Nothobranchius furzeri: one gene and its partners. The protein of the gene in region 1 purifies or fractionates together with the protein of each later gene. This does not show direct contact. Links are inferred from orthologs where the notes say so. Each region holds a gene or a part of one and is shown in the gene's direction. Other genes may lie near its edges. The genes, in order: RNA-binding protein with serine-rich domain 1, nfkbil1, casein kinase II subunit alpha', nos1apa, upf3b, ppig and snip1.

Region 1 (3,982 bases):
TGAGAACCTTCATCAGCATATCTACACACACGTTTTACTTCATGATCTCAAGCACAAGTGAATGGGACATAAATGTAGGTTTTAGGGCTGTGCAGGTATTGAAACCAGATTTTAGGAAAAGTGAAGTTTTTTTAAATGAAATAATGTTTCTGCAAATAAAAATCTACTTTCAGCTCACACTTGATTCAGAAATGAACATGTATAATCAACATACCGTATGTAGCATCCAGTCACATGGCTGCAACAAAACCTCAGGTTAAATATTTTTTAATCATCCATTTAAATAGATAGATGTTTATGTATTTTGCAGACGCTTTAGTCCAAACTTTGGATTCCAAAGTGACTTACAAGTGATAATCAGCATGTTGCCCTTGAGGCTAACAACAACAGTAACAACAACAAACAATTTCCAGTCAGTTGGTGGCAGTGAGGCAGCATGATGAATCATGGAGAACAAGGAGTGGACAGTAGAGAGGGGATGGGTGCAGGGAGGGTGCTAGTTTAGAAGATGTTCTCTGAAGAGCAGGGTCTTCAGGAGTTTCTTGAAAATAGATGGACCATTAATGCCTCAGTTAAACATGGTTATTTGAAAGGTACAAATAATCAACTCCAGTAATCAGGAGACCAAATAATTAATCTTTTATAAAACAAGCATGAGGCTGTTTCACGCATGTGGATATGAGCTCACTTAATAAATCCTGGTTAAACCATGGTGAAATTACAGGCATGATGCATGATCATTTCACCTTTTTACTCCGGAATCCTTAAAAAAGAAATCCAAACGGTGAACGTTTCAAAACACAAACCAAGCCCCAAAACTTCCATTCTCAATGAAAACAGATTAATATGAATTTATTGATGCAGTCCGTCAATGGCTGTGATCTGTGTCTTCTTAAAGACAGCTGTTAACACTGTCCTAACGCGTAATGCGCTACAGCAACGCAACAGCTCAAACCGCATCTACATGTCAACATTGGACACATATCTACAGGAAAACAGATGCTAGCTGAGCTAGCTGTCAACAACATCTGTCATTAATGTACCTCTCTCTCTCTGTCAACAACAGCGAAGCCCCACCACCGTTTCAAACTTGACAAACTCATTTCATATCCAAAAGCGCGTCCGTCTGTGTTTCTACAGAGATGTCGGAAATGCAAGCTGATATTTCACCGTCAACGTCGTAAAATAAACAAATGAGTTGTAAGTGGCGCTCAAGCAGGAACGCAACTTCCGCTGGCGTCATCAACCGTCGACAAGCGAACAGGCCGCAAGTGGTGGAAGCAGAGCTACATCGTCCATAAAAAATGTAGGTTTGAGCTCTTTCCTGGCTTAAAACTGTCCGTTTTTAGTTGTGATGCTTAGTTAATCAACTCTGAAAACCCAGGCGTGTTTTACCGTCGTGTGCTTGTTGCGTGAAGAGCTGAGTGATCGGTTAACGGCATGGTCGGAGCTCTCCTTGTTTAGAGGCAGCGGGCTGAATGAAACTCGTTGGCGGCGGATTTCTGCCTGAGTGCTGCTTTTTCCTATAATAACATAACAAATGTTTACGATTTCCAGCAGACATTTGGTGCTCCCTAAACTATGTGTGATGTGGATTGTTTTTATTTATTTCAGTTATAAATCATGTATATCGTGTTTAGTCTCTTTCAGCTAGCTTACGGCTTGAATTTTTGGTGCCAGATAAGTTGTGTAATATTAGGAGAAAAACGTTATTAGTTTTTTTTATCAGTTGCTTTTACATTAAGGGATTTATTTTAAAATTGAGACATCAGTGTAGTTTTGATAAATGTTCAAGAAAATAAAATTATAAAAATCTTTGTTGCACAAAAGGAAATAAACCTACTGGGGTTTAATTATTCTAAACAAAGAGACAGAAGTTTATTGACTAGTCTGTTGTTTTAACAGCTGGAATAACAACTTAGCGTTCTGTGGTAATTCCACAGTAATGGTAGTGCATCACACTAAAGAAATATTCCTTAGCATTAAAGATTAAACACAACAGTTAAAATGTTGCTTTGTGTTTCATTTTAACTGACAGAAAACACAAAATACACTTTTTGGGTTTCATTTTCAGCTTGTTGAGATTACAGATTAGACCCAGATTTGAATTCTGCATGAATTTGAACATTCCCACAATTTGTAGCTCTTAGATTTGTTAAATCCATTTGTGTAAAACAACTAAACTAACAGATGTTTACATCACTTTAGGGCACCATCTCCTACGAAAAGGAAGGAGGAAGAAAAATCTAAAGATAGGGGCAAAGAGAAGACTGCCACCAAGGAAGGAGACAAAGAGAGAGGACGGGACAAAGTAAGGAAACGTCGTAGTGCCTCTTCTGGAAGCAGCAGCAGCAGCAGGTCTGAGTTCCTTCTCATTTGTTATATCACTAGAGAAATCTGTGCTAAAAATTCCTAACAAACCATTTCATTTGTTCTGATTGTGACCGGATCCAGATCTAGCTCATCATCCAGCAGCAGCTCTGGTTCTAGCTCAGGTTCCTCGAGTGGATCCAGCTCTTCTGGCACCAGTCGATCTGGATCGTCCAGCTCTCGATCGTCATCCTCCTCCAGCTCCTCTGGCTCGCCGAGCCCCAGCCGCAGGCGCCATGACAACCGCCGGCGCTCCCGATCACCGTAAGTCTTTGTTCGTGTCTCAGTGTTTACGATGACTTTTGGTTTCTAGTTATTTATTTACTGCTTTCTGATTTTTCAGGTCTAAAACACAGAAGAGAGGAGAGGACAAAGAGCGAAGGAAACGAAGCCCGATTGTCAAACCCACTAAGGTTCACTTAGGAAGGCTGACCAGAAACGTTACCAAGGTTAGCTTAAATGAAGAACATCTGCTTTCTCTTTCTCATCATGTCTGCTTTTATTTGAGACTATGATGCAATCTCAAGGTTATGTAAGTGCACAAGAACAGCCACGCACATCCTTAATGTGTAGTAATTAAAGATAAAATCTGAGAAGATTTTCTTGTGTGCATCGGGTGTGTTAGTCATCAGCAATGCTCTGCTCAAAACAAAAAGGAGAAAATAAAGAGTTTGTTTTATTTGTTTGGCATCAAGATAATTTTGTGTCAAAGTTGAGAGAATATCTGACCTTTCTATTTCTGTTGTACCAGGATCACATCCAGGAGATCTTTTCCACTTATGGAAAAATCAAAATGATTGACATGCAGATGGATAGGATGCACCCACACCTGAGCAAGGGCCATGCTTATGTGGAGTTTGAGACCCCTGAGGAGGCACAGAAGGCCCTTAAACACATGGACGGAGGTTGGTGTGCATGTTCAATTTAACAGCCTCTGGGTCTCAGGAACACTGGGGGTCTTTTCTGTGTGTTGATTATTTTTTATGACTATTATAAAAACAGGTCAGATTGACGGACAGGAAATCACAGCCGCTGCTGTTCTGCCTCAACGGATCCGTCTACCACCTCGCAGACTGTCTCCTCCTCGCAGAATGCCCCCACCACCTCCTATGTGGCGGCGCAGCCCACCACGCATGAGGAGGAGGTATCGCCTACAGACAGTTTCAGCCATAAACACACACACGTGTACAGGTAATAATGCCGTTTTTGTTGTTTCAGGTCTCGTTCTCCAAGGAGACGATCCCCGGCACGTCGCCGTTCCCGCTCCAGGTCTCCTGGTCGCCGGCGCCATCGCTCTCGCTCCAGCTCCAACTCCTCCAGATAAACTCATTCAGATGTCATGTGGTTTTCTACGCTGTGATGCTGATCAGCTACAACCCTCGTTTTCTCAGACTCCTTTGACTCAGTAGAAATGCCATCATCTACGCTGTATGTGTGGTCATAGCAAGAGTGCTTCTGTTCCATTTGATTTTTTCTTAAATTTTGTGCTAAGTTGATTCAGAAAAGTTAGCTTAGTTTTATGTTGCCTCTACCGGGATCTACAAACATTTTGTTTCCTTTTACCTTGTATTACGTCCTTTTAACTTTTAAAAAATAAAGATGCAGAAACAGA
Region 2 (3,937 bases), on another chromosome or scaffold:
TAAGATGCGCTGAAGTGCCAAAATAGTGACTACACGTGTCTGCAGCACGATTAGACACGCATTTACTATATAGTTTATCAGAAAAAAAAGTTGAATTTGGGGGTGACTTGCTCTTCAAGGCAGACCTGCTCAAATTCTTCTATTGTTCCAAATCGTGTGCAAAATCTTGTATTATGAACAAAATAAACCTAGAATATCTTTATTTTTATAAACATATCAGTAATTATTTTATCTAATTTCTCAAAGCTCCTGGTAGATGCTTTTAAAGAATCTGTGGCTGCTTATGGTTGAAGCAGGATATTAAAAGTCGGAAAGTGTATAAATTATTTAAAACTCCATCACTTGTACCAACTTTCTTGTTATTTAAGGTCTAATCCAAAATGTTATCTAAAGTCTAGTTTTCAGATCCTCCTTGGGATTTTAAATGTGTGTTCTGGTGTCATTGAGAGAATAAGAAAAAAAAAGATCTCCCTGTTATTTTAAATAAAGGTCCTTTGTTCAGTTGTCAAGGATACAGTAAGACCCCATCGGTCACTACAGCAGCTGTTACAGTTGTTTCAGTAGATTTAGTCATAACATCATCAGAATGAGGTCATGGACATTAAATAAAGCATAAACAGTGAACGGAATCATGCAACTTATTTCTATCAAAGTGTCTTTGTACTAAATGAAGGGAAGAGTTTTGGGGGTTGTTTTTCAGCAACTTTTGTTATGTTTCATACATGCAGAGATACACAGGTGACCCTTTTAAACTATGTTTCCTGAACAGGTGCTATGAAAATGTTCTTTTTTTTAAACGGAAATATGTTTTTTTAGGTTTAATGTGGAATTTGTGTCCTAAAATATAATATAATATGGGGCATCTAAAAAGCAAATACGATTAACCACTCAAAAAACTTTTTTAAAGCAGAAATACAAATCTGAAGAAAACACCTGCATCTAATTGAAATGGGAGGCTACAGTAGATTTTTGCTGCAATCGTTAGAATAGGAGTTTGTGACCATGTTAACTTTTAGGCCGAACAATAAATTATTATTTTTTTGCTTGACAATAAACTAAAAACTACAGGCAACAGCTACATCTTGTGGTTTTGTCGGAACCGTTCTGTCTCCGGAACGTTTGTGTAGGAACCTTTCCGAAACCGAGAGTCGGAGCTATTAAACAGACGGAGCAACGGCCGAGGCCCGACGTAAATTTCTAGATACATATTCTGTTTGTTTGGACACAACATGACTTCCCACCGACATGCCCGGGTGTGGAGGTACGTGGAGGAAGGGAGCTGTTTGAAACTGAAGTCGTATCTGCGGAAGCACCCGGACCTGGACGTGAACTTCTCCCGGGGAAAGAGGCAGAGGAGCCCGCTGCAGTTAGCCTGCTCACTAGAAGACGACGCTATCCTGCGGCTGCTGCTCAAACACGGAGCCGATGTTCTCCAGAGGGATCGGAGAGGAGACACGGCGCTTCATGTCGCTGCCAACAGGGCCCTGAAACACGGGAAAACAGGTGAGAGAGACAAAAGGGGGTTCGATTTATAAAGGTCACGGTGTGTTTCATGTTGGTTTTAACTTCTTTGTTTTTATTCCTAGTTTATGATGACTTGGTCATACCTCTCAAAAAGTCATGTCCCGAAGCTTTAAACGCTCAGAACCGAGCAGGAGTCACACCTCAAGACCTGCTGAAATGGATGAAACATTCGGAGGTAAACAACGACTTAATAAAACTAATTATATCCAGTCCAAAACTCATTTTCATGGGGAAAAGACGTATTTAAACCTAAAACACTCAACAAAATATGTTTCCTTTATGCATCTTCTGTTTGTATCCCATTTATTTATAGGAACGCAGTTATTAAAATTCATGAAGAGGCAGCTGTAAAATAGGACCCCAACAGGAAAAATTCCCCCACAACAAGATAACACTTAATACTGAGAATAAAATATATACAGTGAATATAAGGATTAAAGCAAGAGAAATATAGTTTAAAAAATGTGTTTTTTTTTTTTTTTTTTTTTACAGAAAAGAAACCTGGACATTGTCTAAAGAGCAAGTCACCCCCAAATCAACTTTTTTTCTGATAAACTAGATAAATGCATGTCTACTTGCTCTTTAAATCACCCGTGGTTCTGGAAACCCGAACGACTCTTTTGGAACTTCCACAATGGCTTTTCATAACTTCGGCTAGAAACAGTAAAACTCTGACTGTTGTTTTGAAATATAAATGTAATGAAATATACAGGTTTATGCAGTTTTTTTGTTTTGTTTTTCTTTTCATAATGGTATTAAACTTTCACAACAGGCAAATACAAAATTACCTGCAATAGTTATAATCTATCATTTTCCGCAATTATCAACATCCCACTGTAAAATAAAATGGATGGAAACTTGTCCATATAAAGTTTCAGTTCTCTTGAGTAGATTTTGGTTTTCCTGCACCTTGATGTTTCCATGTGTTCTGGTATCTTTCTCAGATTTCAGACAACACGGGCCGCAGACTGGAGGCTGACACTGAGAAGGAGTGGCTGGAGAAGCTGTTTGGGGAATGCGAGGATGAATTTTCTGAAACCTTCGGGGTATATGATGGTAAAATCAGAATCGTTATTGCAATAGTAAAGTTTGACTGATGCTTTCTATTTTTATTCCTAATGTTGTTGCATTTTTTCCCCCACACAGCTGATGATTATCTACCTGTTGATGAAGAAGACGGAGACTTTGGGGACTGGGCCGATCGCATCAGAAGGGAATATTTTGACAAAAAACACTCTGAAGCTCAAAGACTGGCAAGTTCATCTTCTAAGGGGAAAAAAGAGAAAAAGAAGGAACAAGCAGAGGAAAGCCACAAGAAGCTGCATGAAAGGCTGCAGCGGGAGCATGAGGAGTATTTGGCTCGAGCTGCACGTAAAGAGGAAGAGACTCGGCTGGGAAAGAAGCTTCGATATGACGAAAAGTGTGCTGCTACATTTAATGGTTCCTCCACATCAGACAGCACAAAGCTGCGCTACAGCGACATCCCCTGGCCGTCTCCAAGAGGCACGGTCCATGAGATGGTGGATGTGATGCTGCATGGCGTGAACCGGAAAGATGTGGCGGCGTTACGTAAAGCGATCCGGAAACAGCAAACGCTGTGGCATCCGGATAAATTCGCTCAGCGATGCGAAGCTCGATTAGAGGAGAATGAAAAACGGAAGATTCTGGATACAGTAACAGCTCTGTCACAGGAACTCAACAGACTGGCTCAGAGTTTCAGGACTTAAAAATCACTCAATGTTCTTCATTGGGCATGTGGACATATGTTTATCATATTTATTGACAGCCTAGATTTCTGTTTTCATTTGAATTTTAGACAGCTGTAGTTTCCTTTACAAGGAGGCTCGTGCTAAATAAATTAAGAAAAGCTGCTTCAAATGCATAAATGCAATAAATTATCAATTGGAACAATTCTTGAGATCTGATATCTGCATCATATTTTTGTTTTTGTCCTTCCCTCCCCTTTTTTGTTACCCTTAAAAATAGTCACCTATAGGTAGTGTGTGTAAAGATTTATTTAAGGAAATAAATTTCACTTTACTGGAATTGATTTACAAATTTGGATCTAACTGTAGTGAGTTATTTTTATCAAGCACCCACTGGAAACTTGGCGCTTTTTCTTTGTGAATTTATAAAGCAGACAAGACATGAAATGTCTTCAAAAATAAATTAAACTTGGTTTGAAGAGAAAGAAGTCCAGCTGCCATGTTTTAATCCATCTGGGATTACTACAGATTAACCTTTACTAGTATTCGGTCTGGTTGACCTTTTCTTGGAGTTAATATTATGTGGTCAATAATTTATAGCTGTTCATCTGATTGCCTTATTTATTAAAGTATTTTCTAAATCTTGAAAGAAATTGCTATCATCAGAAAATATTTTTGCTACATGTAGTGCATGTTTATCTTATTAC
Region 3 (4,249 bases), on another chromosome or scaffold:
TGGAAACTGCTGCCACTTAGTGGTCGGAGGTTGAATTGCAACAGGCAAAAGTAATTTATTAAATGTGTGTAAATTCGCAATAAAAAATTATACACTGCTTAAAACGATCGATTCTGTATCATAACACGAAATATTGTGACACTTAAGTGTATCAATGTATCCTTACATCCCTAATTTGTTTTATATTGCAAAGAAAATGAATGAATCAAGAACATTCAAATAAAAAAAATCTTGCAAATTCATTTGGGAAAAGATAAAAATAAGATTTCATTTGGTCGTATTTTAGACTTGAAAACTAGTTACATCAAATGTATCATGTAAAAATTATTTTCCAGCTCATGATCTAACCAGTTCGGCTGATGAACAGTAAAGTTGATTGTTTTTTATTGGCCACAACAAATATGAATAAAAACAAATTTAAAGCAGGAGACTTAGTTAAAATATCACATTATTGTCTCTGGAATCCCATATTTGTAGAAATTAGATTTATTAGATAATCCACCTTGCCAATATAAATTTAATGTAACATAACATATTATTTGTTTTGACATAGCTAAAATGTTAAACTCTAGAACTCCAAATATAATGAAGATACTAGTAATGGCAAGTAAAATAATTCAAATGTATGTTTAATTGCAGATATACGATAAAGTCAACATTTTGTTTTATCTATTTAGCATAGTTTATTTTTACTATTCAGCTTCTACACATTCAAACTATAACATTTATTTTACTTTACTTTTTTCTGATGGTCGTACACGATCCAGCTCTCCACACTTCCAAAATTATTTTAAAATTGTTTGATGGTTTAATTCATACATTCGTTGACATACTGGAAAATTCTGTGCCCATCTTGTCTCCTCAAATATTGATTTGGCGTTTAGTCTTCTTGAAATCATCTTTTAATAGTAAATTCGTTTATGATAACATTGTCTACTTTGAAACAAACACGTAGCTATTTTGAACGTTTTTCAGCTGATATGCAGGAAAAACAGCCGGTGAGACAATATAAAGTTAAATAACGTCGTATGCACATCACTGGGCATAGTGAGTAATGTCTCAGTCTGTCCCTCACAGAAAACAGACACAACTGGTTCTCAAAAACTCAGAAACTCCCAAAAAGTCTTGATGGTAGATTTTAAACCATGAAACAAAAATGGTGAAAAAACCAAATAATTATAGAATAATGAAACTTTTGAATAATGTTACGAGATTCCCGTATTTTAAATAATTTTAGGAATATTAATTGTATAAAAACATTTTCATTGTGACATTTATTGCAGTCTTTATGAAGAAAATATTTAAATGTCCCGTAACTTAAAAGTAAGTGCAAACAGACTGAAGAGCACTAGTCAGGTGCGGTGATTCATTTCGTGTATTAATTTTATTTTCTGGTCCCCCCCCCCCCCCCCCCCCCCCCCCCACACACACACACACACACACACACACATTTCTGGCTGATGGAGGAGCTCCGTCTCGGTTAACTTCCGGGTGATGTTTACCGCAGAACTGCTGGATGTGCCTCCACCACCACCGCCACCCATCAGTCAGAGTCAATCAATCAGACACATTATCAATCACCTCGGACCTGCTGGGCTTACATCACCGCGCGGACATCAAAGTTAACCCGCGAGCCAACGACCATTGATGACGTTTTCTGCGCTCCAGCTTCCGACGACGAGGTTAGCCGGCTAACTTTAGCCTCCGAAATGACGACGCTGATAATTATTGCGGTTAATTCGTGTTTCGTATGCAAGAAGATGTGAATTCAGACGGTAAATGTCTTTGTGATTCCACATTTTTGAGGCAGAGTTTGTATTTTAAAGTTGTATAAACTAAACAGGTAATCGTTACTCGTTAGCTTAGTTAGCATCAGTTGAATTTCTAACAGAGGATGTTACCTAATCTTCCTGACAGTTACAACTGGTCCATCTAGTTAGCTTGTGGAGTAGCCCGTTGTTCACATCCTTCATAGCCGTTTGAGGGAATTAAATGTGTATTTGAGAGGAGAAGCTCTTCAGAACCAGAACATAGCGGTGATGGAGCATGAACGGGCCTAGAGGAGAGGAATCTGTAGACAGCAAATATATCAGACTTCCAGAGCTACACGTTACTTTAGAGAAGTATACACCGATTTAAGAAAGGTGTGAATAAGCTCAAACGACTGCTAAGACATACATGGTGACGGGAAGTTTTAATATGTCGGAAAAAATTATGATAGACTTAAAACGGCTACGAAAGAAACGTTGAATTATAGGAAACGGATCAGGTAAAGATCAACATCACAAAACAAGTGAAACACGATCTGATCAAATAAAACATCTTTTATATATTTTATTGTACATAGTAGTTGAAAAAAATGTGGATTTTTGAGCCCATATCTACACAACCAAAGTCTTTAGGGATTTTCAGAGAACAGGGCAAGGCAGTTTTATTTATTTGGTACATTTCACACACAGAGGCGGTTCAATGTGCTTGCCAACTAACAAGAATAACAAGAACATTAAAATCAATACGACATCACAATTATAATACACACAAATTCAATTTAGATTTAAAAATGAAAGAAGAAAGCAGTTACAGTGCAGAATGTGCAGTGTTATATAAACAGCCATTCAAAGGCTGATGAAAACATGAAAGTTTTCCATTTTCATTTAAAAGTTACATGAGTTGAGTTGGGGCACATTTGAGGTCATAAGCAAGCTGATTTATTCTGTGTGCAGCATTGTAGCTAAAAGCAGCGTCACCCTGTTTGGTTCTGACCCAGGGTTTTACCAGCTGCCTGTTTACTAAGGATCTCAGAGCCCTGCTGGGTTTATGTACCTGAAGGAGGTCCGACATGCATTCTGACCCCATGCCATTGAGTGATTTTTAAACTAATAGAATCACTTTGAAATTGATTCTGTAGTTTACTGGTAACCAGTGAAGAGATTAAGGAACAGGAGTGATGTGTTTCGCTTCTCTTGGTTCTTGTTAAGGCTCTAGCAGCAGCATTCTGAATAAGCTGCAGTTGATTCACAGCTTTCACAGATCATTTTAAATGTAAAATTGTTAAATTTTAGAAATATTTTTCTAAAAATTTCTTGAGAATTGATCTGCAATAATTTGTTCTAAAGGCAAATGAAAAGTCCAAAGTTGTAACTTATTTTGTCTAATTGTTTAATGATTATTTATTTTTACTAACTTTGCACATTTGCATGCAGCTGCACACTTGATACTTTTGTTGTTTTTAGACCATTTTTATACCAGTTATATGCAGATAACAGCCAAGTCGGTAATAAAAAAATAACTTCCAGGTTTTTCTGCTCTTTTCTTTTTTTCCCAACAGCTGGCGGTTCTTCATCCCATCCTGTCTAACATCCGTCTCAGGGGCTTCACTCAGTCAATAATTGTAGCTTTGTCGGTCTGCACAGCCACCCCTGTGGACCAGGTCAGTGCTTTTCACCAGAGAGCACAAGCAGCCAATGCCAATGGTAAACACAACACAGGGATCTTAGAGCCTCAAACTCAGTACAGCCGCTGCGCTGCCTTCCAGTATCGCGACAACAAGTATTCTGAGGAAGGGGGAGTTTCCCGACACGGAGCGTCGAAGCTCGCGATGCCCGGATCCTCGCCGGCCAGCAGCAAGGCTCGGGTGTACACCGATGTCAACACACAGAAGAACAGAGAGTATTGGGACTATGACGCACACATGCCAAACTGGAGGTACAGAATATCTTACTACAGTTACCATCAGCATAATCAAACAGCTTTTTATTCACACTTAAAATATTTTTCTCTTTTCAGCAACCAAGACAACTACCAGCTGGTGCGCAAACTGGGCAGAGGGAAGTACAGTGAAGTATTTGAGGCCATAAATGTAACAAACAATGAGAAAGTTGTGGTGAAAATCCTCAAGGTGAGATGTCTTGACTTCCCAGCAGTCCATCCTGTAACAAATGTCATGTATGTAGGTTTATTTGTCTTACACAATTGTCTGAGTAATCCATTTTCATGTTCTGAGGTCACGGACAAAGTGCTTAGACTTTATTTTTCCTTGTATGTAGCTTTTTTGAGTGGATCTTTGTACCTCCTTTCATCCTCAGCCCGTCAAGAAGAAGAAGATCAAACGGGAAATAAAAATTCTTGAAAACCTGCGAGGTGGAACCAACATCATCCGCCTGATTGACAACGTCAAAGACCCAGTGGTGAGTCTGAAACACGCTGTGGCTGTTTTGCATGTCGGCGTGTCAGCCGCGTTAATCCGGTC
Region 4 (3,500 bases), on another chromosome or scaffold:
TGAACTTTAAAAAGCAGCTCGGTGCGTCGGACCAGAGCCGGGGGAACACAGTGGGAGGAGAGGTTTGATTTTGGGAGGACTTTAAGGTCGGAGCAGGGAGTCTCTGCTGCTGGAAGTCATTTGACTGTACAGTCTGCCTCCTCTTCTATAAAAATCATTCAATGTGGGAAAGTTTTTTAGCCTCAAATGGACACGGAGCCTCGGCTTTAATCTTGGGGCCGCAGCAGGCCGCGGCATTAAGGTTACATGAGGATCACAACTGCCACTAATGCAGCTGCTCCCTTTATTAAAACCCTATAAACGCTCCGGGTTTTCAGAACAATGGACTGGAAAGAAGAAGAAGAAAATATCATTTCTATAGCGCCTCTCAAGATAAACATCACGAGGCGCTTCACAAAAATAAAAAATGTAAAAATATAAAGAGAATTTCGAAAATGGTTGAAACATTCCTGATTCTCTCGGCTTTCTTCTCCTCTACCTCTTGTTCCGTGCAGGTCCACCTGTTGAAGGACCAGCTGAGCGCCGAGGCCACGGCTCGGCTGGAGGCCCAGGCTCGGGTCCATCAGCTGCTGCTGCAGAACAAAGACCTGCTGCAGCACATCTCGCTGCTGGTTAAACAGATCCAGGAGCTGGAAACCAAGATGGCCGGACCAAATTCCAGTAAGTTCAAAGGCTCTGTGTGACAGAGATGTGTTGCCCTGCGTGAGGTAAATGGTGGCCACACCAGATACTGATAAAGCAAAACTGTACTTATGTCAGGGTGTCCATTTATTGTGGGCAGTTAAGGCACACCTGTACATTATTCATGTCCCTTTGATATGCCACACCTGTGAGGTGGGATGGATTTTCTTGTGACGTTTACACATTAGCGTCACACAAGATTATGAGGACACACACAGCAAATTAATAAAATAATGTGGTTCAGAGTCTCCAAAAGCAACACAGCTCATGCCCACCTTTGTTTACCTTACAACGGAGGACACTGCGGATGTTCCCGCGCGTCTTTAACTCCGCCCACAGGCTCGAGGATTTCCGCATTCCTGAGACGTCCCCCAGATTTTTATGTGAACACCACACCGCCCGTTCGAGGCCAAACTCACACCATCCAGCTCGACCAAACCCCGACCGTGCCGACGCTAATGTGTAAGCGCCATTGGTAAAGGGGAAGTGCTCACCAACACACGTAGACAGATTTCAGAACAACGTTTGAGAGTCTTGGGTCTATTGTGCATGTAGACAAAGTTTCAGATGTTTGGGTTCAGCTCATGAAAAATGGGAGCAAAAAACAAAAGCGTTGCATTTATATTTTTGTTCGGTGTAGCTAGTTTGAACAATAAACAATAATCCTGTTTCCCCCAGCAAGAGCAGCCATCTACGGCGCTCAGCCACTGTAGTCACAGGTGGGAGGGAGATCTTGGGAGAAGCAAAGAGTACATTGACTCCTACAGATTGATGACCTCGCCAGGCTGAAGTCCACCAATCCGTGTGTGTGTGGGGGGGGAGGGTTCACAGCATCTGTCTGCATCCCTTCGTGGGGGGTTTATTTGCTTGCAGCTCAAGGCTACCAAGGCGTCAGATTTGGATAACAAGAATTTGTTTGGGTCAGGCTGAGATAATTTTCCTCTCTGCCGTCAGTCTTTAAACTGATCACTCCAGTCCTTCAGTGAAGCCAATTCTGGGTTTTTAAGCCTGTCCATACCGTCCGGTGACTCTCCGAGATGACATCCATTTTGCGCACTAATACCGGTATCGCAGCTAGAACATTGTCCAGCTTACGATTCACCTTGAGTAACGTCCCAGTCTGAGAAGTCTCCACACGGTCGGTGCTTTCCGTGGGTGCGGGTCGCCCTCCAATCTCTCCCGTCTTCTTAAATTTCCAGAAAACCAGATATCCTCCCACTCCAATCAGGAGAAATCCAGTGATCATCATCAGGCCGAATATCCACACGTCTTCGATGTCCTCAGTGGACAGCTGGGAGAGGCATATGATCAACCATTCCCTCCAGGAATCCAGCATATACCCCACCGGGTGTGTCCCCTGTGGTCATGTGGGAGCCCCCTGCTCCGTTCTCATTGTTGAAAAAAATCATCGATCGCATTGAATGACCAGTTTATCAAATCCATGGTTAGTAAAAATAGAGTTTTTCAGAAGAAACGCAGAGAAGCTCTCTGTGGGCAGAAAGCACAAAGAGCCTTGGGAAAAAAAGATAAGGGAGCGAAAGAGAGAAGCGTCTGTACTCCTCGAGTGCCTTGAAGATCTACGTGATACAGGTGTTGTGGAAAATTATCTTCCCCTGAAACATTCTGCTTCCCTCAGGCATTCAAGAGCAAATGTTTCCAAATTCACATGACTTCTTGTCCATTATGAGGAATAAACTACCTCAAATAAAGACAGTTAACCTGACTGAGATTATTTCCTTTTACATAACTTTCAAAAATGATTAAAAAAAAGCTTGTTGGAACAAGAATGTCTTTACTGTACCTTTTTTTATTGTTTGTAGGAGGACACATAGATAAAGAAATACATCACAAGCATGACATTATTACATTGCATCGTTTTCTGGAGAAACAGAATATTTCAGGGGAACACAATTTCTCACACCTGACCTCCCGGCTGCTGTCACCCCTCGTCCGTGTGTGAATCTTGACCTCTTCAACATCTAACAGAACTATCTTGCTTCCTTCAGGACTGGTTGGTTGATCAAACATTCATAATTAACTAATTCACTGCCAAATTTGCATTTTTTTTTTACTGTGTGGGCGTCGGACGAGCCCCCACACCGTGAGAACAAACATCCCAGCTCCAAAGCCGATCTTCATCCGCATACGTCGCACGTCACGTGATCAGGAAGCAGAAAGTCCATGTGTTAGGAGATCCTTTTGGGCCGCTGCCGTAAAAAATGTGAAAATGCTGAAAAACGCTGGCAGTGATTGAGTTAAAGATGCTGTTTTAACTAGTCGAGCTTTGTGTGCTAGGCAAGGGAAATTGGAAATACACTTACACTGCTCACAAGAATTAAAGGAACACTGTTTTTATTGGGCCTGGCATGAAATCAATTAAACCTGTCTGATAATTTCCTGGTTTCCTGATTAAGCAGCTGAGGGCATTGTTAATCACTTTCAGCTGTATTGGTGTTCATGGACTTAAAGACAGGTGCACTAAAGTGGCAACAATTACAAAACCCTCACAACAGGACTGGTTTAAAACGTAGAGGTCATTTCAAGTTTCTCCCTCTTGATCTTTTTCGGCTGGTTTTCCACTCGTGCTGGTTTTGGCTCTCTACTGGCGGTATGAGGCGATTGCTTAACCCTACAGAAGTTGCACAGGTTGTCCAACTTCTCCAGGATGGCACATCCACACGTGCTGCAGCAAGAAGGTTTAATGTGTCTTCCAGCACAATCTCCAGAACATGGAGGAGATTTCAGGAGACTGGCGGTTATTCTCTGAGAGCTGGACAGGGCCGTAGAAGGTACACAACCCGTCAGCAGGACCGATACCT
Region 5 (4,234 bases), on another chromosome or scaffold:
AGGTGGTTTGGGCATCTGGTCAGGATGCCTCCTGGACGCCTCCCCGGGGAGGTGTTTCGGGCATGTCCTGCCGGTAGAAGGCCCCCGAGTCGACCCAGGACACGTTGGAGAGGTTACATCTCCAATCTGGTCCGGGAACGCCTTGGGGTCCTGCCGGAGGAGCTGGTGGACAAGGCCGGGGAGAGGACGGCCTGGAGCTCCCTAGTTGGGATGCTGCCCCCGCGACCCGGACCCGGATAAGCGGAGGAAGACGACGACGACAACTTTCAATGCTCTACATGGTCAAGCTCCGCCCTATATTACTGAACTGTTAAAGCCTTATGCTCCAATCCGAGCCCTCAGGTCCACTCACCAGAACGTTCCAGATGTTCCAAAGACCAGATATAAAAGTCGAGGGGATAGCTCCTTCCAGACTGTTGCACCCCGACTCTGGAATGATCTTCCTTTATCTTTATGTAGCATTGACAGTTTAGACACTTTTAAAAAAACAGCTAAAGACCCTTTTATTTAAAGCTACTTTTACCTAAATCTTTTATTTTCTTATTTTTAACTCAAAATTAGAAATCATCTTTCATCTGTTTTATGGTATTTTATCATTTAATGACTTAACTTTTCTGTTTTAATCTTTTTTTAAGATCATTATGATTTTATGACTTTATGATTTGTTTTGTTTTGATCTATGTGAAGCACTGTGGTTTTCTGTCTTTGATGAGTGCTATATAAATAAATTTACTTACTTACTTTACTAGATGATGGATGGATGGATGGATGGATGGATGGATGGATGGATGGATGGATGGATGGATGGATGGATGGATGGATGGATGGATGGATGGATGGATGGATGGATGGATGGATGGATGGATGGATGGATGGATGGATGGATGGATAGATAGATAGATAGATAGATAGATAGATAGATAGATAGATAGATAGATAGATAGATAGATAGATAGATAGATAGATAGATAGATAGATAGATAGATAGAGTAACTTTATAAACAGATAAAGATACAATTTGGTAATACTATTAAAAGATAAATAAAATAAAAGTATCATCCATCCACTCTCTATACCTGTTAGTCCATGCAGGGTCGTGGGATAAACGTATCACAAAATACATTAATCAAATACATAAAAGTAACGAACAAGGAAAATTTGAAACACAAATAGGGAAACAATGCAATGTTTCCAATAAAAAGATGTCTAGTGTCACTAAGTGGACAGTAGACATATCTCAATCTTAACTTTACATCAGACTTAACCCTAGCTCTACAAAAAAATTTACTATAGAAAAATATTTTAGAATGGACATTAACAAAAATATAATTACCAGTAATTACCGAAAATAGTAATTACCAAAAACATTTTTTTTTAAATGTGTAATTGCTTTGTATTTAGCGCCACCTCCTGGTAAAAACTTGTAAATGCAGCTTCAGTAGTCAGAAAGGAAGTTTCGAGCGGTTAGTATCTAGCTGCTAGCTGGCTAACTCTCTGAAAAGTAAACAAGTCTGTTGAGTGAGATGAGAGCAGGCTGTGGATCTCTGTAGACGTTCAGCTATGAAAGAAGACAAAGAAAACACTCGACCGAAGGAGAAAAAAGTGGAGCTAAAGTGTGAAGATGGAGAAAAGACTGAGAAGTCAAAAGAAAAGAAAGAGGCCATGACAAAGGTAAAACTTGCTAGCTAAAGCAGCTAATGTTGCTACAGACGTCAGTTTTGGATTCGTGTAGTTCTATTAAATAAAAGCATGGTTTAACTTTTTTGTTTTGTTTTTGTTTTCAGATAAAATGTTCTACGATTGAAATTATACATTTAAAGACTGGACCAAAATTTCATTTTACAAAGCCCTGCTTAGTAATTAAGGTAGTGAACTTTTTACAATGTGTTCGTAGATTGTAATCAGACGATTACCACCAAGTCTGTCTAAAGAGGAGTTAGAGGAGCAGCTGCAGCCTCTCCCAGAGGTGGACTACATGGAGTTTTTCTCAAACGACACCAGGTGAGTTCACCTGTAAAATGACTGTTAGCATTTCCTTCATTGTGTTGGTCTAACATGGCACTTCCGGTCATTTTAGCCTGTATCCCCATCTCTTCGCGAGGGCTTACATCAGTTTCAAAAATGAAGATGATATTGTTCTCTTCAGAGATCGATTCGATGGATATGTGTTCATAGACAACAGAGGTATCAAGAACACACACCCAGTTTTCTGTGAAGTGTTCCAGAGCGTTGACCTGAGACTGTCCTTGTTTATGTTTGGCCATTCAACAGGACAGGAGTATCCAGCCATTGTGGAGTTTGCGCCGTTTCAAAAGATAGCCAAGAAAAGAAGTAAGAAGAAGGACTCGAAGTGTGGAACAATTACTGAAGGCAAGGGTTTAAACTGTCTGGTGGTTTTGATCTTCTCTGTTATAAAAAGAAATAAGCTTGAAGAAACTCCATGTTCGTCCCTAACATATCTATTTTGAGATCTATCTATAAAAATCTATAGCTCAGCATGTTTGTGTTTTTATCAGATCCTGATTATAAAAAATTTCTTGAATATTACAACGGAGACGAAGAGAAGCTGACATCTACGCCTGAGACCTTGTTGGAGGAGATCGAGGCCAGATCAAAAGAACTTGAAGGTTTGTTTATGACAGCACCGTTATCACTTGCTGTGTTTGTCTTCAAATTCCATTTTTGGTTCTTTTTTTAAACACAGATAAGGTTTTTCTTTACCTTGCTGACGTTTCGTTTACGGCTGCAAACATCTTCAGAGCTGCCGCTGATGTGGATGTGTAGGAAGTGACGCCACCATCAGCGTCAGCTCTGAAGATGTTTGCAGCCGTAAACGAAACGTCAGCAAGGTAAAGAAAAACCTTATCTGTGTTTAAAAAAGAACCAAAAATGGGACTGTTATAACTGCTTGTATGTAAACAGGAGCATTGCATTTGACAAGATTTCTTATTGTGGGTTTCTTCCCCTTTCTTTTAGCTAAAAAGACCACGCCCTTGTTGGACTACCTGAAGAATAAACAGGTAAGCATGTGGTAATCGTTTTTTGGTGTTTAGGATAAATTGGTTCAACTGCATGTTAGCAAGAATCCATCAAACTTTCTATTTTAACTTTCAGAGAATCAGGGAGGAAAAGAGAGAGGAGAGACGAAGGAGGGAGCTTGAACGCAAGCGCCTGCGTGACGAAGAGCGTCGCAAGTGGAGGGAGGAGGAGAGGAGAAAACGGAAAGAGGCTGAGAAGATGAAAAGACTTGAGAAACTGCCGGAGAAAGACAAGGACCACGTTAAGGAAGAACCAAAAATTAAGGTTCGTGCAGTGAAAAAAAAAAATGCATCTGTCAATTTCAAGTTTCTCATGATGATTGTGTCTTTATATTCAGCTCCTGAAGAAACCAGATAGAAATGATGAAGCAGAGTCTGAAAAGCCTAAAGAGAAGTCCAAGAAACCAGAGAAGCCACATAAAGAGGTCCGGTCATTCAGTGATCTGAAGAGGAGACATAACATCGAGAACAAGGAGGATCGTGAAAGAAAGTCAGTTCTTGTTCTTTTTTTCCTGGCATTTTGCACTTTTGTTTGTACATTTAACTGATTTAACTCCAGCTGTGATTTCCTTTTAGAAGAGATGAAAGTGGGAGAAAGGAATTCAGGGAGCGGGACTTTGATCGAGACAGAGAGCGGGAGGAGCGGCGGCAGAGGGAAAAGGAGCGCTTCAGACGGCAGGACGAGGAAAGACGGAGGAGGAGGGAGCAGCATGATGGAGAGAACACGTTCAGGAAGCGGGAAGAGGAGATTAAAAAAGAAAAGGCGTTGGAGAAGAAGAGGAATGAAAACATGGCAGATTCCCCTCGCGGTGAGAAAACGGAGAAGGCTGCCAAAGAGAACAAAAAGGATGAGAGCAGCAAAAGGGAGCGACTGCGGAATAAGGTACGGACTCCAGTTATTTCTCACACTTGTGCCAAATAATTTCTGAGTTTGTTTTCCTTTTGTAATATTTTATTTATATTATTTGCAACAGGACCGACCCGCCATTCAGCTTTACCAGCCAGGGGCCCGGAGCCGCCACCGTGCCACACCAGGAGCAGACAGAAGAGAATCCAACTCTGCCGACAGAAAACCAGATACTGAGAGCAAGAACGTGGCTGAGAAAGTAGACGACTGAGCAGACCTCTGCTTTTGTTCATTTGAGTTAGGTGAAGAGACAGGCCTGCGAGCAGCAGTATGGCGTCTCGGAGCCACG
Region 6 (4,044 bases), on another chromosome or scaffold:
AAGAGATTCGTGTGGTTCCACTTTCAGCCTATGCAAGAGAGGGCCATTTATTATGCAGCAACTAAATTTCATATAAATAGTCACTAAACAGATTGATGATGCTGAAGTACCTGAGGAAAGCATAAAGTATGTCAATCAGCATTAAATCACTCATAAGAGCAATTTTATTCTCTGCCAAAACCTGGAGAGTTAAGAACTGTGGGTGAGTCTTTGTGAGGTCAATGGTCCTGAGGAGTTCAGGTCTCTCTTTCTGGAACTGCCACAGCATCCTCACAGCACAGCTGACATGGTCCACAGTCAGCTTGGCTTTGTTCCTGCTCACCACATCAAACACCTGGTCTTCATTGGAGCAGACCCGCAGACCCTCCAGGATCTGGGTTCTGTTTGCTGCACCACAATGAAGGAGCCGTGTGAGGCAGGGGTTCACACATCGGAGTCGATGCATCCTCACACACCTGGGCTCAGGCTAGGTCTTCATTTCTCTGGTGATTTCCCAGCTGTTGGCACAGAGGAAGGCTGAACCGTGACATAAAAAAAACAAGATTTTGTTTTTTCTGGAGATCATTTGAAAACACATAAAGTAAAAACAATCAAATAAATGTGAGAGTGATGATACTAAAAGACTTACATGGATCAGTTATTCATGCTGACTTAATCTCAAAGATGGGAGGAAACATTTACTTTGCTCATCTAAGTTAAATGCACCGTGCTCACGTGGATGCGCCAACAAGCGGGGTTTTATCACCGTTTACTTACGAGTTATTAGCTAGATTTCAGCACATTAAATAATTAATAAATTACTATTGAAAACACAGGATGCAGTCAGTTATGCACCTCAAAGTCAAAATTACCTTACATGTGTGCAGTGGAGTTTTACTTCCGTGTCAAGTGACGCAATACGAGGAGGAATTTTTACCTGGGTAATGCCTTTCAGGCGTCAACTCTTGTTAGATCAGTTTGTGTAAACGTCTTTACTGTCGTGCTTTTGCACCACAACTGATCGTAACTGAGTATAGTTTGAATCAAACAAGGGCACGTTTCAAAGTGTTTAAACCAAGATACAGCGAATGAACCAACCGGAACACTAATAAGGCAAATGTTTCCAGTTAATGGACAAAAGTGGTAACATATATTGGAGGAATCGTGATTACGGTGGTCGAATCGTGAACTCGCACAAAATGACCCAGTTGAATCCCAGGGTATGCGTTATCGATGTGTAAATGTTGTGCCTGGCAGGTAAAACGTAGGAATCAAATACCCCACGACGTTCACTGGCGCAGGACTCGACGTGCCCTGCCGCGCCATCTTTAGAAAACAGTGAGCTAAACACTGAATGAAACTTAAACTTTGTCGTTAGGACGGTTCACTGTATGGACCTTGGTTTTCAAGGTGATGCTTTTTTTTTTTACGTAGCTGACGCGTTAGTATCAGTGTACTGAATATCTCGAACCTGGTACGTTTCACACAGTAATAAAAACGCCATGCGTGGCTGTGCCGCTAACAGATGCTAATGCCGACGACAGGCCTACCGATGCTGAAGCGTGTCGATGTTAAAATGTTAACATGGTAAAATTATGCTTAACAAGTACGAAAACTTCAACTCTTTCTATAATTGAGCAGTATTTTTTGATCATTTAATGCGCAAATGAGGTTCAAGGTGGCTAATGTTAGCTAGCGAATTAATAAACAAGCAAACGCCACCATTGATTCCCGTCACTCAGTGCCTTTATTTAAACATAAGATCTGTTTTAGCACTAAATAATGACAAAAAGATGCACGCCATACTGAGTAATTTCGTCTGCAGCTTATTTTTGATGGATCTGTTTTTACATTGTGAGTTCGTTTTCCAGATATGACTTATTTCTGTTATTTGTGTAATTTATACACAGGTATTTTAAGTGATCATGGGGATCAAGATTCGCCCTCGCTGCTTCTTTGACATTGGAATCAGTAATGTTCTTGGTGAGATTAAGGCTTTTTACGTGCATGTTTATTTATTATGTTGATTTATTTATATTCAGTGCATTTATTTCAACGTTTGTGTGTTGCCGCAATAAATCCAAATCTCACTGGGGCTCGTTTATTTTTATAGCAAGTATCCCATTCTTGCCAAATAATCCATTAAATATGTAAGGACAACTAATATCAAAGTATTTTGTCATAGTTTTTGAGCTCAAATGTTTGTAACAAATGTACCGCAAGGTTCTTAGACAAGCAAAAATAATTCTACACCCCAACCAAATTGCATTCATATTTACATTCAAATCAAATGCAATTGTCTAAACTGCATATTTATAGTTAGTTGTACTAACTGCAGTGACAGTTGTGTGGAGAAAACAAAAATAAACTGTGACTCTCTGGTGTCTCCCCACAGTTGGCAGAGTTGTAGTGGAGTTGTTTTCAGACATCTGCCCTAAAACCTGTGAAAACTTCAGATGCCTCTGCACAGGTTAAAAACCTTTTTTCATCAGTCTTTGTAAATTATTAGAATTAAAAATGCAGATCAGTTACTACCAAGCTTTTGTTGCTTCATCCAGGCGAGAAAGGCCTTGGTAAAGGAACTCAGAAACCCCTGCACTATAAAGGATGCCTTTTCCATCGAATCGTAAAAGACTTCATGATTCAAGGAGGAGACTTCAGCGAAGGTGGGCTATCAGGCCTTTAGGATGCTTGATTTGGTGTTGAAAGTTCATTACATGTGTTCACAATATTTGGGGAAATATTGTCTACTTGTGGTAAGATTTTTCAGTTATTAGCTGCACGTACCAGCTGAATTTCATCTTTTACCACTCAAAGTATGAATGCAGATGTCCTAATTAAACATCTGCAAAACATTCAGACTCAATTTTTTTTTACGTTTTCAATACAGGAAATGGAAGAGGTGGAGAATCCATCTATGGAGGTTTCTTTGAAGGTAAAGAAGCACCAATCAGAACTGACACTCATCCTCGGGTCTGGCATTGAAGTCAATGTGGTGTCACAATCTTGTCTTTTCCCCCAGATGAAAGCTTCACTATTAAGCACAACAAGGAGTATCTGTTGTCGATGGCCAATCGGGGCAAAGATACAAATGGATCCCAGTTTTTCATGTAATTGTAATTTTATTTCATTAAACATTGTTTAATTTGTGTACTTTAAATGTTGACTTAATCCCTCTCTTGTCCATTCCTGCTGTGATACTTTAGAACAACAAAACCTTCTCCGCATCTGGACGGGTAGGTGTCTTCTGATTATTTTAGGTTTGTTAATTGCTTTTTGTTATTTAGCTCACATAATACATAATTTCCCTTTTCTGTTTTTAGTGTCCATGTGGTTTTTGGTCATGTGATCTCTGGCCAAGAAGTCGTTCAAACCATGGAGAACCAGAAAACAGATCCCAACAGCAAACCATACGCAGATGTGAAAATCCTTAACTGTGGAGAGCTCATACCCAAATCTAAAGGTTTGTGGAAACTGGTCATTTGTAAAAGACCAGTTCTGGTTATCAACTGGTTTTATTTTCTCTCCAAAATATTTTCCCAGCAAAGAAGGAAAGAAAGAAAGAGAAGGCCGGCTCTAGTTCCAGCGGGAACTCCTCTGACTCTCAGAGCTCCTCGGAGTCGTCCTCCGATTCAGAAGAATCAGGAGCAGAATCTAAGAAGGAGAAGAAGAAAGCAAAGAAACTAAAGAAGAAACAAAAGAAAAAGGATAAGAAAACGTAAATTTGAATCTCATTTTTGACTGATGCAAAAACATCGTCATATTTATAAGGTGCAACACGTTTACAGGTCTGATGCTGAGAATGCGGAAGAAAAGGAACAAGAGGACCTGGTTACGTCTACGGTGCGCCCTGAAGAAATACCACCCGTACCCGAGAATCGGTTCCTCATGAGGAGAAGTCCACAAGCTGTCCAGAGGTCCGATGAAAACGATCAGAGAAAGAGAGAAGACCGACCGAGACATAAGTTGGTGGTTTATAAGCATTTGAGAGGTCTGAAGTCCTAAATGATTCCGTCGTCTGCTCATTTTCACGTCTGGTTTGTGTTTTCTCTTTGCAGCATGGGG
Region 7 (4,211 bases), on another chromosome or scaffold:
ACTTCCGTTGTTTTGTTTGGCTGTGTCAGGTTGGAGGTAATTAAGGTTATTTAAGCAGTTCAGAGTTAATAAAGCGGTAGATATGATGTTTCACAAGTTGTTGCTAGAGTTATGTGAAATCTTACTTGTGATTTTACTATAAAACATAATAATAATCAACTTCTCCTTCATGTTTGCTCGGAGGTGTATAGAGCATCCTGTCCGCTCATTGGTCAGTGAATGAAACCTCCGTTGATTGGTCCTCGTCTGAGCGACAGCGATGAAAAGTTGAAAATGTTTCAACTTTCTGGGATCGCGTCGCTGGGTCGTCCGTGCACGACACGTGCACGAGTGCAAAATTTCACACGCACGTTTTTCGCGTTTCGCTTAGTAGGAGAGAGACCCCCGATTATCGCTTTGTCGCGCATGTCTCATTGAAAATGAATGGAGGAGAGGTGATGTCGCCTCCCGTGTGTTGAGCCCTTAACACTCATGCCTGATGATTTTCCTGTTGTGCCTCACTCATGTGTCTTTCTTCCTCTGTCCTCTCTCTTTTCTCCTCTTTTTCTGTCTCTCTTCCTCACAGCACTCCTGTCTTCTCTTCTGTCTGTACTAACAAAAATGTTGTCAATCTGTGGGACAGTGGGGGCGAGTGAGACTGCTGCACACACACAAAAAAAAAGACTGCTGCTTGCGTGGGCCCCCTTGTGGCTGTGGGCCCCTGGGCCTGTGCCCAGTTTGCCCATATTATAATCCGGCCTTGCCAAAAGCGCATCACGCACAGTGTGTGGGGTTTATGAAAAAAGCCAGATTATATTAATTATAGCATTAGCTACTGAACAACAAGCACACAAACAACACTTAAGTAATTAACTGGCGTTATTTCCCATCTGTATAATTTAAGCCGATGTGCTTTTTTCCGCTCTGGTTTGTGAGATGGGCAGCAGTTGTTGTTTTTTCCCTTGTCAGTGGCTCTATTCCCTTTTCCGTACAGAGTAGAAATAAATAAATAAAATGTAGGGCACAAAAAGTCTGGATCTCTTTGCTCTGTGTTTCTTCCAACAACTTCCGTTAATGGTACCCCTTCAATCCACACCTTTAGGGTTTGTCCGACTTACTTTGGTTGAGCTTGAGGCTGTCCTCTTAACCAAAACGGGATCGTCATATTTCAAGAGAGAATCGTCTAATTCAATCATCCTGACGCCTTTATGTACAGAAATAGCTGTTTATGTTGTCATGGTAACGTTCGGGCGTTTGCCGGAAAACAGAAAAAAAAAGATCTAAGCGCAATTTAAAAAAGAAAAATAGCTCAAATCCACTTGGAGTTGAATTTACGGCTTCATAAAAATATCTGTAGTTTTCATGATTTAATCCGTGTTATCTTTAAACGGAACGGAAGTCATCATAGCGGAACGTTTAGTTGAAAGCACATATACCACGTCGGAAGAAATTGTCAGCGCGCCAAACGGAAACGGAACGCAACTTTAGCAACCGTTTGGTGGGTTTTGCGTTTGTTTGCTTCTGTGGCTAACTATGCTTGCGTAGCCACAAAAAGTTGACGGATTTTGTTCAAAAATGGCCAAAGAGAAGCGACACAAGAGAAGAGATTCTCCCACGCGAGAGCCGGAAGTGAAAGTAAAACAGGAGAAATTGAGTCCGAGTAGGCCGCAGAAATCACGCCGCTCGAGGTCGAGATCCACAGACAACTCCAGTCCACAGAGGAGAAGAACCAGCAGGTAAACACGCGTTTGTCGCCCTTTGAGCACCACCAAGGTGATAATATTCAGATCTGATGTTCTTTATTTTCTAATAACTGAATTTAAATGTGACTTAAGTTGACACATCTTCAAAGGAAATGCTTTTTAGAAAAAAAAAGTTCAGATAATTTACGTTATTTCTTTATATCACAGTAAGTAGATTGTTATTAACACGTGTATTTACAACTATATCACGTTCAGCTTCAAGTGCCTATAGTACGTCAGTTAGATTATTAACCAAGCTCCTGTCTTACTCGAATGAGTACAAATCAAGAAACAATCAAAAGCATCTAAATATATAGTTTATATAGCTACATTTATTTAAATTTCTTATAATGTGTAGTAATATTCTAAAATCCAATGGCAATTAGCTAAAACATGCGTTTTAGCTAATCAAAACTTTATTAATTGGTATCAAAAACTAACATCTTAGATCCTCTACACACATTTTGGATATTTAATGCAAAGTCAAAGTATTGATTAATCTTGTTTAATTCCCACACCTGATCTCTTACAATCTCTAACACTGAAAGATGACTTTATTACTATTTTAGTTTGTAAATGCTGCCTAACTGATACGAGTGGCTTAAGAGTGTTTTCTCTTTTGTGCTCCTCACACAGGTCACCCGTGAGGACAAGAGACCGCTCACCAGGCAGAAGGGAGACCTCTCCTGTTAGACGAAACAGCAGATCTCCCAGAAACAAGAGAAATCACAGCCCTCATTGTAGCAGTGACTCTAGAATAAAGAGGGTGATTATAAAATTCTAAACTGAAACTGACTTGTCTCAACTTGTAGTCATGAAGGTTTTGTGTTTTTGTTTTAGGAGCGTGATGAGCATAGATCTAGCGGCGATGAGCGGAGGAGGAGGAACGAGCAGCCAGATGAAAGACGAAGCAGGTGGGAACATAACAGGTCCGGGGACCGGGATGGAGAGAGGCATCGTGAGCGAAACTCCCAAGTGACTCAGCAAGCTGAGCGGCGGCAGCACGATGAGCGGCGTAGGGAAAATCGGCGGCGGCGTGAAGAAAATCAAGAACAGGAGTTTGGACAAGCTGAGGGAGACGGCAGCGACTCGGGGGCACCGCCTGCTGATAAAGAGAAGCCCAACTTTGAATTGTCAGGGGCTCTCACAGAGGACACCAACACGTTCCGTGGGGTGGTGATCAAGTACAACGAGCCACAGGAAGCTCGAATTCCAAAGCGCAGGTGGCGATTGTACCCTTTCAAGAATGATGAACCCCTTCCTGTCATGTACATTCACAGACAGAGTGCCTATTTGTTGGGGCGGCAAAGAAAGATCGCTGATATCCCCATCGACCACCCATCCTGCTCCAAGCAACATGCAGTATTCCAATACAGGTATGTTGTATGTAAATGTTTTCACTGTGTGATTAATTAGATTTGTGGGGAAAATATACAACTAAGGATTCTGTTTATTCTGCAGGTTAGTGGAGTACACTCGAAAAGACGGCACCACTGGCCGCAGGGTAAGGCCTTATATCATCGACCTCGCTTCTGGCAACGGTACCTACCTGAACAACCAGCGGATCGAGTCTCAGCGCTACTACGAGCTCAAAGAAAAAGACGTTCTCAAGTTTGGCTTTAGCAGCCGCGAATACGTCCTATTGCACGAATTCTCCGACACGAGCGAAGTTGATGCAAAGCAGGAAGAAGAAGAAGACGAGGGTCTTGAGTAAATTACTCCCAATGTGTTTGTGCCTAAATTCATTTATGATGGATAAGACCAATGAGAATGTTAGAAAGTGGAGCGATGTATCTTGTGCGTGGGAATTCACACCACGTGGTTGGATTGTTATGTATATTGTGTAAATATTGAACTCTTGCTTAAACCTGCCACACCTGTCTCCAAGTAGACCTCCTTTCTCAGGATTAATGCATGGCTGATCTCATGTGTTATGTCAGGGTACATCATTGGAAAACCAACCTTATGTTTAGGAAAGCATTTCTTATTGACTTAATGAACATAAATACACAGAATATAATAATTGTATTTTTATTTTTTGCTTTTTTTTGTAGTGGAGGGGAAATACTTGATGCTATGTGTTTCTGCATCATTTATACAAAAACTTCCCTGTTTGATTTTGTCAGTTCAGGTGTATTGATAGTAAGAGTTCATTTTTCTACTGTAAATTAAAATATAGATTATTAAAAAAAATCTCTGTGATTGTTATTAAAGAGCAAGTAACGCCTAAATTAACTATTTTTTTTTGTGCTGATAACTTGCACAGATGAGTGTCTAATGGGGCTGTACACACGTGTAATCATTAATGTGGCAGTTTAGTAGCCTGGCAAGCCAGACTAAATAAATGTATTATTTACTTTGCAAAGCAAGAATTTGGTCTAGTTCACTAGGTTAGCAGTTTAGTGCGTCTTACTTAAAATTTGATACTTCAGCCCAAAACCATAATTATATCTCCATCTTTTGGTTAAAACCTCTGCTCCACATTTATGT

What was found.
Region 2: the proteins of RNA-binding protein with serine-rich domain 1 (region 1) and nfkbil1 purify together in Homo sapiens (co-immunoprecipitation; 3 studies listed by BioGRID and IntAct, with this or other methods). This does not show direct contact. The link is inferred for Nothobranchius furzeri from reciprocal best matches to the Homo sapiens genes RNPS1 and NFKBIL1.
Region 3: the proteins of RNA-binding protein with serine-rich domain 1 (region 1) and casein kinase II subunit alpha' purify together in Homo sapiens (co-immunoprecipitation; 3 studies listed by BioGRID and IntAct, with this or other methods). This does not show direct contact. The link is inferred for Nothobranchius furzeri from reciprocal best matches to the Homo sapiens genes RNPS1 and CSNK2A2.
Region 4: the proteins of RNA-binding protein with serine-rich domain 1 (region 1) and nos1apa purify together in Homo sapiens (co-immunoprecipitation; 3 studies listed by BioGRID and IntAct, with this or other methods). This does not show direct contact. The link is inferred for Nothobranchius furzeri from reciprocal best matches to the Homo sapiens genes RNPS1 and NOS1AP.
Region 5: the proteins of RNA-binding protein with serine-rich domain 1 (region 1) and upf3b purify together in Homo sapiens (co-immunoprecipitation; 5 studies listed by BioGRID and IntAct, with this or other methods). This does not show direct contact. The link is inferred for Nothobranchius furzeri from reciprocal best matches to the Homo sapiens genes RNPS1 and UPF3B.
Region 6: the proteins of RNA-binding protein with serine-rich domain 1 (region 1) and ppig purify together in Homo sapiens (co-immunoprecipitation; 3 studies listed by BioGRID and IntAct, with this or other methods). This does not show direct contact. The link is inferred for Nothobranchius furzeri from reciprocal best matches to the Homo sapiens genes RNPS1 and PPIG.
Region 7: the proteins of RNA-binding protein with serine-rich domain 1 (region 1) and snip1 purify together in Homo sapiens (affinity purification with mass spectrometry; 4 studies listed by BioGRID and IntAct, counting the BioPlex papers as one, with this or other methods). This does not show direct contact. The link is inferred for Nothobranchius furzeri from reciprocal best matches to the Homo sapiens genes RNPS1 and SNIP1.

What each region holds. Positions count from the first base shown.
Region 1 is NC_091752.1:58,150,660-58,154,641, forward strand, and holds the start of RNA-binding protein with serine-rich domain 1, read left to right. Parts: upstream 1-1,182; 5' UTR 1,183-1,304; coding exon 1,305-1,306; intron 1,307-2,208; coding exon 2,209-2,358; intron 2,359-2,454; coding exon 2,455-2,634; intron 2,635-2,713; coding exon 2,714-2,819; intron 2,820-3,121; coding exon 3,122-3,275; intron 3,276-3,372; coding exon 3,373-3,514; intron 3,515-3,588; coding exon 3,589-3,694; 3' UTR 3,695-3,982. UniProt on the Homo sapiens protein: Part of pre- and post-splicing multiprotein mRNP complexes. Auxiliary component of the splicing-dependent multiprotein exon junction complex (EJC) deposited at splice junction on mRNAs.
Region 2 is NC_091746.1:51,383,777-51,387,713, reverse strand, and holds nfkbil1 (NF-kappa-B inhibitor-like protein 1), read left to right. Parts: upstream 1-1,150; 5' UTR 1,151-1,229; coding exon 1,230-1,503; intron 1,504-1,586; coding exon 1,587-1,699; intron 1,700-2,468; coding exon 2,469-2,580; intron 2,581-2,670; coding exon 2,671-3,251; 3' UTR 3,252-3,437; downstream 3,438-3,937. UniProt on the Homo sapiens protein: Involved in the regulation of innate immune response. Acts as negative regulator of Toll-like receptor and interferon-regulatory factor (IRF) signaling pathways.
Region 3 is NC_091749.1:31,588,393-31,592,641, reverse strand, and holds the start of casein kinase II subunit alpha', read left to right. Parts: upstream 1-1,449; 5' UTR 1,450-1,775; intron 1,776-3,328; 5' UTR 3,329-3,430; exon of another isoform or gene 3,431-3,535; 5' UTR 3,536-3,598; coding exon 3,599-3,705; intron 3,706-3,786; coding exon 3,787-3,898; intron 3,899-4,085; coding exon 4,086-4,187; intron 4,188-4,249.
Region 4 is NC_091748.1:76,139,026-76,142,525, forward strand, and holds part of nos1apa (carboxyl-terminal PDZ ligand of neuronal nitric oxide synthase protein), read left to right. Parts: intron 1-494; coding exon 495-660; intron 661-3,500. UniProt on the Homo sapiens protein: Adapter protein involved in neuronal nitric-oxide (NO) synthesis regulation via its association with nNOS/NOS1. The complex formed with NOS1 and synapsins is necessary for specific NO and synapsin functions at a presynaptic level.
Region 5 is NC_091741.1:85,713,660-85,717,893, forward strand, and holds the start of upf3b (regulator of nonsense transcripts 3B), read left to right. Parts: upstream 1-1,434; 5' UTR 1,435-1,560; coding exon 1,561-1,671; intron 1,672-1,894; coding exon 1,895-2,001; intron 2,002-2,077; coding exon 2,078-2,184; intron 2,185-2,271; coding exon 2,272-2,370; intron 2,371-2,516; coding exon 2,517-2,627; intron 2,628-2,976; coding exon 2,977-3,020; intron 3,021-3,114; coding exon 3,115-3,303; intron 3,304-3,376; coding exon 3,377-3,528; intron 3,529-3,614; coding exon 3,615-3,921; intron 3,922-4,012; coding exon 4,013-4,156; 3' UTR 4,157-4,234. UniProt on the Homo sapiens protein: Involved in nonsense-mediated decay (NMD) of mRNAs containing premature stop codons by associating with the nuclear exon junction complex (EJC) and serving as link between the EJC core and NMD machinery.
Region 6 is NC_091754.1:20,285,307-20,289,350, forward strand, and holds the start of ppig (peptidyl-prolyl cis-trans isomerase G), read left to right. Parts: upstream 1-1,244; 5' UTR 1,245-1,389; exon of another isoform or gene 1,390-1,585; intron 1,586-1,889; 5' UTR 1,890-1,904; coding exon 1,905-1,962; intron 1,963-2,374; coding exon 2,375-2,449; intron 2,450-2,537; coding exon 2,538-2,645; intron 2,646-2,869; coding exon 2,870-2,914; intron 2,915-3,001; coding exon 3,002-3,089; intron 3,090-3,185; coding exon 3,186-3,215; intron 3,216-3,302; coding exon 3,303-3,442; intron 3,443-3,522; coding exon 3,523-3,697; intron 3,698-3,767; coding exon 3,768-3,944; intron 3,945-4,037; coding exon 4,038-4,044. Other genes in the region: fastkd1 (FAST kinase domain-containing protein 1, mitochondrial), read right to left, coding at 1-28, 111-445. UniProt on the Homo sapiens protein: PPIase that catalyzes the cis-trans isomerization of proline imidic peptide bonds in oligopeptides and may therefore assist protein folding. May be implicated in the folding, transport, and assembly of proteins.
Region 7 is NC_091745.1:70,706,732-70,710,942, forward strand, and holds snip1 (smad nuclear-interacting protein 1), read left to right. Parts: upstream 1-1,411; 5' UTR 1,412-1,554; coding exon 1,555-1,715; intron 1,716-2,357; coding exon 2,358-2,487; intron 2,488-2,561; coding exon 2,562-3,097; intron 3,098-3,182; coding exon 3,183-3,435; 3' UTR 3,436-3,914; downstream 3,915-4,211. Other genes in the region: dnali1 (axonemal dynein light intermediate polypeptide 1), read right to left, coding at 1,098-1,175. UniProt on the Homo sapiens protein: Required for pre-mRNA splicing as component of the spliceosome. As a component of the minor spliceosome, involved in the splicing of U12-type introns in pre-mRNAs. Down-regulates NF-kappa-B signaling by competing with RELA for CREBBP/EP300 binding.